2 linked regions of the Ovis aries genome follow. The protein of the gene in region 1 interacts with the protein of each later gene in a pairwise test. Links are inferred from orthologs where the notes say so. Each region holds a gene or a part of one and is shown on either strand. Other genes may lie near its edges.

What was found.
Region 2: the proteins of EVL (region 1) and TRIM9 interact in binary tests that used the Homo sapiens proteins (3 or more experiments, as listed by UniProt). The two-hybrid records come from large-scale screens. The link is inferred for Ovis aries from reciprocal best matches to the Homo sapiens genes EVL and TRIM9.

The regions. Positions count from the first base shown.
Region 1 is NC_056071.1:62,672,979-62,677,589, reverse strand, and holds the start of EVL (ena/VASP-like protein), read right to left. Parts: upstream 2,946-4,611; 5' UTR 2,870-2,945; coding exon of another isoform or gene 2,859-2,869; 5' UTR 1-2,858. UniProt on the Homo sapiens protein: Ena/VASP proteins are actin-associated proteins involved in a range of processes dependent on cytoskeleton remodeling and cell polarity such as axon guidance and lamellipodial and filopodial dynamics in migrating cells.
Region 2 is NC_056060.1:42,064,597-42,067,303, reverse strand, and holds the end of TRIM9 (E3 ubiquitin-protein ligase TRIM9), read left to right. Parts: exon of another isoform or gene 1-1,205; coding exon 1,206-1,509; 3' UTR 1,510-1,902; downstream 1,903-2,707. UniProt on the Homo sapiens protein: E3 ubiquitin-protein ligase which ubiquitinates itself in cooperation with an E2 enzyme UBE2D2/UBC4 and serves as a targeting signal for proteasomal degradation.

The sequences.
Region 1 (4,611 bases):
GGAAGCAGGGGTCCACAGGCTCGGGGGCCTCTGAGGGGATCTGGCCGGGCCAAGGAACGGGGCAGTACATGCATCTCCGAGGGTAAGCTTAAAGCCTGGCGACGAGACCAGGCTGAGCCCAGCTGAGCCCCTGATCACAGGCTCGGGCTGACACCTGAGTGAGTGTGTGCCATCCCGGGGCACGCGGGCAGGCCCAGACCCCGCGCCCGAGCAGCTCTAGGCTGGGAGGGGAGGGGCGAAGGAAGGATGACCGCCAGCAACGTGGGCACTGCAGGAGGGCTGAGGCGTGGTCTGACCAGTGGGAACTGGAGACGACACAGAGTAACAGAGACTAGCAGCCTTGATTCAAACTCGGATTCCGGGCAAGTTCCTTTGAGAGGTTACAGACGAGCTTGCTGCTGCTGCTGCTAAGTCACTTCAGTCGTGTCCGACTCTGTGAGACCCCTCAGCTTTTGAAAACACGAGAGGCCTGGCTTTAGACCCCACCTCTCCCAACAGTGTGCCCTGGAGCTGGTAAGCTGTTAAGCTGACTCTGCTGACCCCTGTCCTTACCAGCGAGATGGAATAGCAGCGGGAACCACAGAGGACGAGGTTAAATACAACATACATCAGACCACGTGATGAGCACAATGCCTGGCAGAGAACTGGAAACTGGGTACCGCTGTTATTTTCTCTTTTAAGGGGTCAGCTGTCAAAGTCTAGCCCGGCTCTCGGGCACTTCCTGCCTCAGGACATCCCAGGAGATGCTCTGGAGATCAGAACAGGACAGCAAAGTCTCAAGACGCTCTTCAGTGGCCGGGCCCCACAGCCCTGCTGCAGGGGCAGCCCCCTGACAGCCTGAGGGCCGGGGCCTCGCGGGGCGGGGGCCCCAGAAAACCCGGCCTGCGCTTTGGCTGGACCACTAACTCACTCACACAGAAGCTCTGCCCTGACTCTGGGCCTCAGTTTCCCCATCCGTGCACCTCAGAGCTGGACTAAATCAGTAGTTTTCAGATTTCAAGGTATTATCACCAGCAACAACTTTTTCCCCCCTTAAACAAATATGGAGGAATACTTAAAACAAGATAAGAGAGGGCGAATCTGGCTGACGAGGAGGCTAACGTGCCTGAAGCACCACTCCCCTGGGCGCCCTACTGCAGGTGGAGGGCCTCGAGTTGCTTGCAAGATGGAGACTTACAAGCCTGCTCCGGTTTTAACGGTTTAGGAGTGGCTCTGCTCCCTCCTCGTTTCCTTCTGATATTGTTTTCTGCCTTCAGCAGCAGACAGGATGGAGTACACTGAGCTTCCCACAGTGTAGCTTTCGGCTGATGATGACTTTGGTCCCTGCCCTCTGTGGAAGCTGACGTGCCTTTAAAGAGGCAAGTCTTGTTTGCCACAGCTCTACTCACAAATCCCGCAAAGCTCAGGGGAATGACTGAAATGATATAAAACTGGCTGCAGGGACTTCCGGGATGGTCCAGTATGAGACTCTGCGCTTTCAACGTAGGGGGCCTGGGTTCAATCCCTGGTCAGAGAACTAGATTCTACATGGCGCAACTAAAGATCCCACGTACTGCAACGAAGACCGCAGATCCTGAATGCTGCAGCTAAGACCCGGCGCAGCCAACTAAGTAAATGTTAAAGGAAAGGAAAACCAGCTGCAAAGGAGCAGGAGAGGCCAACTGCGTCCCTGGGCTTTGTGAGCCGCTGGGCCTGGAGGAAGGGGCTCTTGGCAGCCTGGCTGAGGCCCTCAGGGTACGGTGGGGTATGCTGCGATGGCCAAAGCTCCCCTGCTGACCAGGAGCGTTGGACGGGCCCCCTTACTGTTCTGTCCCTGTCGTAACTCCCCGCAGACCGCCTACAGAGAGCCCACTCGGCATCCCGGGAGAACCTCCTAACATGGCTGTCCTGTGCTGGGTAGGCTCTCCTGGCCCTCAACCAGCCATGCGGCCCTGAGCAAAGCTCCAAGGCTGGTCAGAGGCCAGGCCTCCTTGCCCCCTGAACAGCAGTGATGACCCTTCCCGAGCCGACCACCCGACATGGTTGAAAGAATCAAACGAGAACACTGGTCAAACAGCAGTCTGGGAACTGAGAAGGAATCTTTAAAGGGGAAGGAGTATAACTTATGCTGAGACGAAGGGCTGCCATGAGTCGATGAAGTTCAGTGCCCCAGATCCCAGAGGATAAAGCTCTGTCTTATGATCCAGTCTCCCATGGGATCTCAGGGTGGGGGAGAATCAAGTCTGAGTCGCAATCTCACCTTCGCAAAGAGTAGCTCACAACTACCAGGGCAGGACGCGGACTGGCTGGTGCCCACACACGTGCCAAACCACCGCAGCCCAGGCCATCCGCTGCCTACACTCAGCTCCAAGGGCCTTGGGTAGGTCGGGGCTCTGCTGAGATAGCCCATGCGGTCTCCACCTGTACAAAAGGCACCCCAGTCCCTCCCTCTGTGCCCAGGATTCAGAGAACACCCCTGAGTATTCTCAGGCCATTCTAGACAGAAGAGCACCTCTGAGCCAAATCCCAGACCCTGAGATAGCTCGGAGCCCCCCACCAACCGAGCCAGGAGTCTGACTTCTGAGGAAGTGCTTCTGCCACACACACACACACACACTCATATACACACAGCGCCACTAACAGCAACTGGCAACCAGAGGCACAGGCTGGTGCAGTGGATGGACCACGGACGGAGCGGGCGGCTCCATCGTAACCATAACTGTCTAGTGGTCATGAGTCCTCCTGCCCTCTGGCCTCGGTCTCCCTATCAGTGCAACCGGGGGACCTGGGGAGGCTGCCATGTTCCCTCGGGCTGTACACCGCTACGGCTGCAGGTCTGCTCCTGAGGTCCCCCTGTCCCCTGCGGTCCCCGTACTCACACAGTGGTCATGGCTGCAAGTCTGCAGGACAGGGAGCCCGAGGAGATGAGTCCCGAGTTCCCGCCAGGCCAGCTGACCTGAGCGCACAGACTCTGGGAAGGCAGCAACTCAAGTTTTAGACTCTACTTGAAACCAAACAGGAAAAGGAAGCTGAACCAGAGACAAAGGGGAAACAAGCCCCAGTTGAGAACTGAAACCTAGGCAGAAAACAGAGAAACAGAGCTTGTGGCACAGAACCCCCAGTGTGGGCGGCCCGTGTGCCAGGCTGCAGCCTCGCACTCCGGCACTTTCTGCAGGGGCCGGGCAGGTGGGCGCGGTGCAGAGAAGGCCAAGGCCCTGGCTCCCCACCTGTCCCGACTCGGGGGCCCAGCATCGATGGCTCCCTAGACACTTTCGGAAAGGCACCTGGCCCATCCTCCAGCGTGCACACACGCCATGATGGCATTACAGCTGGGGACGGCCTCACGGTTTACTCGCTAATGAACTCCGTACTTCTGTTAGGGAGACGCTTCTCATGAATGGTGACACTTCTGTCATCGGTGGCCTGAAAGGAAAATATCTGAGGGGTGATGGAAGCCTGGCCTTGTCACCGGCTTGTTAAGGGAACCTGGGCTTGTGTTTCCTCTGCTGAAAAATGGGGTTAATCATCCTCGGTCCGCCTGTCTCCACTGGGTTCTCAGGAAGGTAAGATCCACTCCCCAGCTTTCATTCAGAACTGACTGAGAACCCTCCAAGCGTCATGCGTTGTGCCAGAAACTGGAGACAAAACACCGACCTGAATGGCAACTCTTGTCCTTGAAGGGCTTTGACTGTTGAGAAAGGAAGCGACTGACAGGTTAGCAAATTGATGTGTTAAGATGTTATTACCAATAGAGCAGAAAACAGCTGTTCCGAGTATGGTACAATAGAAAGAGTGCTTCTAACTGGAGAGCTGAGAGCACAGTCAGTGAGAGCCGAGTGCCGAAAATGCATTTTCAAAGGGTTTCAAAGATACGCATCTCCCTTTAAAAGCAGCTTTAGGTTGCAAACCACAAACTTTGACATATTGTGGCTTTTTTTCTTAGTTCAAAATATTTTCTATTTTACCCTGTGACTCTTTTATATACAGATTCTTGAGAAATACTTTAATTCCCAAACGTTCGGTGCTATCCTACTTCTGTTATTATTGTTTATTTCTAACTTAATACTCGGAGAAGGCAATGGCAACCCACTCCAGTGTTCTTGCCTGGAGAATCCCAGGGACGGGGGAGCCTGATGGGCTACCATCTATGGGGTCGCACAGAGTCGGACTCGACTGAGTGACTTCACTTTCACGCATTGGAGAAGGCAATGGCAACCCACTCCAGTGTTCTTGCCTGGAAAATCCCATGGACAGGGGAGCCTGGTAGGCTGCAGTCCATGGGGTCGCTGAGTCGGACTCGACTGAGCGACTTCACTTTCACTTTTCACTTTCATGCATTGGAGAAGGCAATGGCAACCCACTCCAGTGTTCTTGCCTGAAGAACCCCAGGGATGGGGGAGCCTGGTAGGCTGCAGTCCATGGGGTCGCTGAGTCGGACACGACTGAGCGACTTCACTTTCACTTTTTACTTGCATGCATTGGAGAAGGAAATGGCAACCCACTCCAGTGTTCTTACCTGGAGAATCCCAGGGACGGGGGAGCCTGACGGGCTACCATCTATGGGGTCGCACAGAGTCGGACACGACTGACGTGAATCAGCAGAACTTAATTCTACTGTGGTCAAAGAACGTA
Region 2 (2,707 bases), on another chromosome or scaffold:
ACTGCATGTCACCAGGGCCATCATTGCTGAAACTGAGGAACTGCCAAGACACCATTGATACCCCGGTGTTTTTAACGACTGTGCACAATCTGTGTTCTGCATCCCAAGGGGAAAAGAAAAACACTCTCACAGGTCTGTGAGGCTGAAGTTCAGTACTGCTAGATCTCAGTGAGGAGGAAAAGGACAGATCTGATTGTCTAGGCTTAATGGCTTTTTATGAAACCATCAGTTAAAGCATAAGACACAATTTGTTTCCAGTGACAATCACTCCAGCTCCTAAAGTACGATTATTTCACCTTACAGAGAGAAGATTCCTCTTGTTCAATGTTGCCATTTTATGGAGAGCCTCCAGCTTCTCAATTCAATTTCAGTATGCCCCAAATTCCCATCTTTCTGGAATGAGTTTTTCTGATTGATGAACAGCATGAGGCCCCAAATCTAATTTTTCATGCCTGTGTTCTAGGTTCAGCTTAAGTGCCTCTTTACTTTGACTTTCAAATTAAATCGTTTTGGATTGAATGACGCTTAATTCACAACTTGAGACACAGCTCGAGGCAAAGTTCTGGTAGCCTAAAGGCTACTTTTTGTTCCTGGCCTTTGATGCTTGTGTATCCCTGTGGAGACTGTGTGAAGGGGTTCACTCTTAGCAATAGCAGAGCAGCGCAGTGAACCTGTGTATTTTCAACGTGAGAATTGGTTCAGGGAGCAAGCAGATCTTACTTTTTTATATACATGGGCTTCCCAGGTGGTGTGAGTGGTAATGAATCCGCCTGCCAATGCAGGAGACTTTTTTATATAAAGCAGGAGCCATAAGAGACGTGGGTTTGATCCTTGGGTGGGAAGATCCCCTGAAGGAGGGCCTGGCAACCAACTCCATTATACTTGCCTGGAGAATCCCAGAATCCCATAGACAGAGGAGCCTGAAGGGCTATGATGATCCACTGGGTCACAAAGAGTCAGACATGACTAAAGCAACTGAGCACCGCACAACACAGCTATACATGCGGCACATAAGTAGATAAACAGTATATCTGTGGCGTTAAAACTGTATGTGAGGAGGGGTCACTAAGAGGAAAAGTGTGTTAGAAGGCTTTGGGGGTAGGGAATGAGAATTTTAAACAGATTAAGAAATAACTGGTTTAACCATACAAACGGAGCTTCTGGAAGGACGGGCAAGTGAAACCCTATGTTTTCTTTTTCCACAGAACTGAGGGAGGGATCACAAAGGGGGCCACGATTGGGGTCCTCCTCGACTTCAATAGAAAAACCTTGACGTTTTTTATCAACGACGAACAGCAAGGTCCCATCGCGTTTGAGAACGTGGAGGGCCTGTTCTTCCCGGCAGTCAGCCTGAACAGGAACGTGCAGGTGAGCGGCTGCTCCATTTGTGAGGCTGCCCGCGGGACGGTGAGCTCAGTCCCCCACCTTGGAGGGCCCAGACCAAGACGCGGAGGAGAGGGGTGCGGGGTGGGAGGACGTGACAAGGGAGATAATTCCAGACCAGCATAAGCCCCTTCGTTGTATTTAGACACAGCTTGGTGAACAGCAGCAGGGGAAACTGGGATTCTCTGGTGGCAGGCTAATGACTGTCCTCCTGAGCCCTAGATTCCTCTCTAGTGGAAAGGAAACTCTTGAACCGGTGGCCTGAAAGCAAATGAAATGACTGCCGCAAAGCCCCAGGAGCTCCTGAGAAGTGAAAGTGTGAGCCTGAAGTGCTAACAAGATGCTTAGAAATCTGGGGCTTCTCCACTGCAGACTTATCACTTCTGTTAGGGAGGGAAAACATAGTCCCTGCCTGCAAGTTAGTAATGATTTTTTGTAAATATAAACAACAGGGTTTCCTTATTTGTTCATTCAATAAATATCTACTGAGTGCCTTTGATATGTCAGGCACTACTGAAGTATTTAAGTATTGTTGTTTATCAGTGAAAACATAAAAATGAAAATCTTGCCCTCTTAGAGCTTGCATTTTAGTTACAAGAGACACAGTAAATAATACGCACAATTGCTGTGTTAATTATATAGTGTATTAGAAGGCACTATTGGAAAAGACCCTTATGCTGGGAATGATTGCGGGCAAGAGGATAAGGAGGTGACAGAGGATGAGATGGTTGGATGGCATCACTGACTCAATAGATATGAGTTTGGGCAAACTCTGGGAGTTAGTGAAGGACAGGGAAGCCTGGCATTCTGCAGTTCATGGGGTCGCAAAGAGGCAGACACGACTTAGCGACTAAACAACAGCAGCAAGGCAATATGCAGTGGAGAGAAGACAAGGAAAGGGTGGGGAACCAAGAGTGCCAGGGTAGGGAGGGCAGTGGCAGTCTTAAGCAGGGTGGTCAGCATAGGTGGGCCTTATTGCAGTCACAGGTGAGCTGAGCCTTGAAGGAAGTGAGGGAGTGAGCTGGGTAAGGCTTTCCAGGCAGAGGGAACAGCCAGGGCAAAGTTTCTAAGATGTGAAGGGCTTCACACAGGGAAAGAAGGGCCAGGAAACCACAGCTGGGGCAGATGGGGGGGCGGTGGGAGAACAGATCAGGGCATGTGCGAGAGGGTGCCCTACCAGCCACTGCTGAGATGGGAGCGCTCACTTCCGATTTGAGCTGGAACTTGACACTGGCTATGAGCTTCACTCAGCAGATGGGTGCTGAAAGATAGATAGGGTTTAAGCATCAACACAGTGCTCGTAATTTTTGTTGTATACAGAACT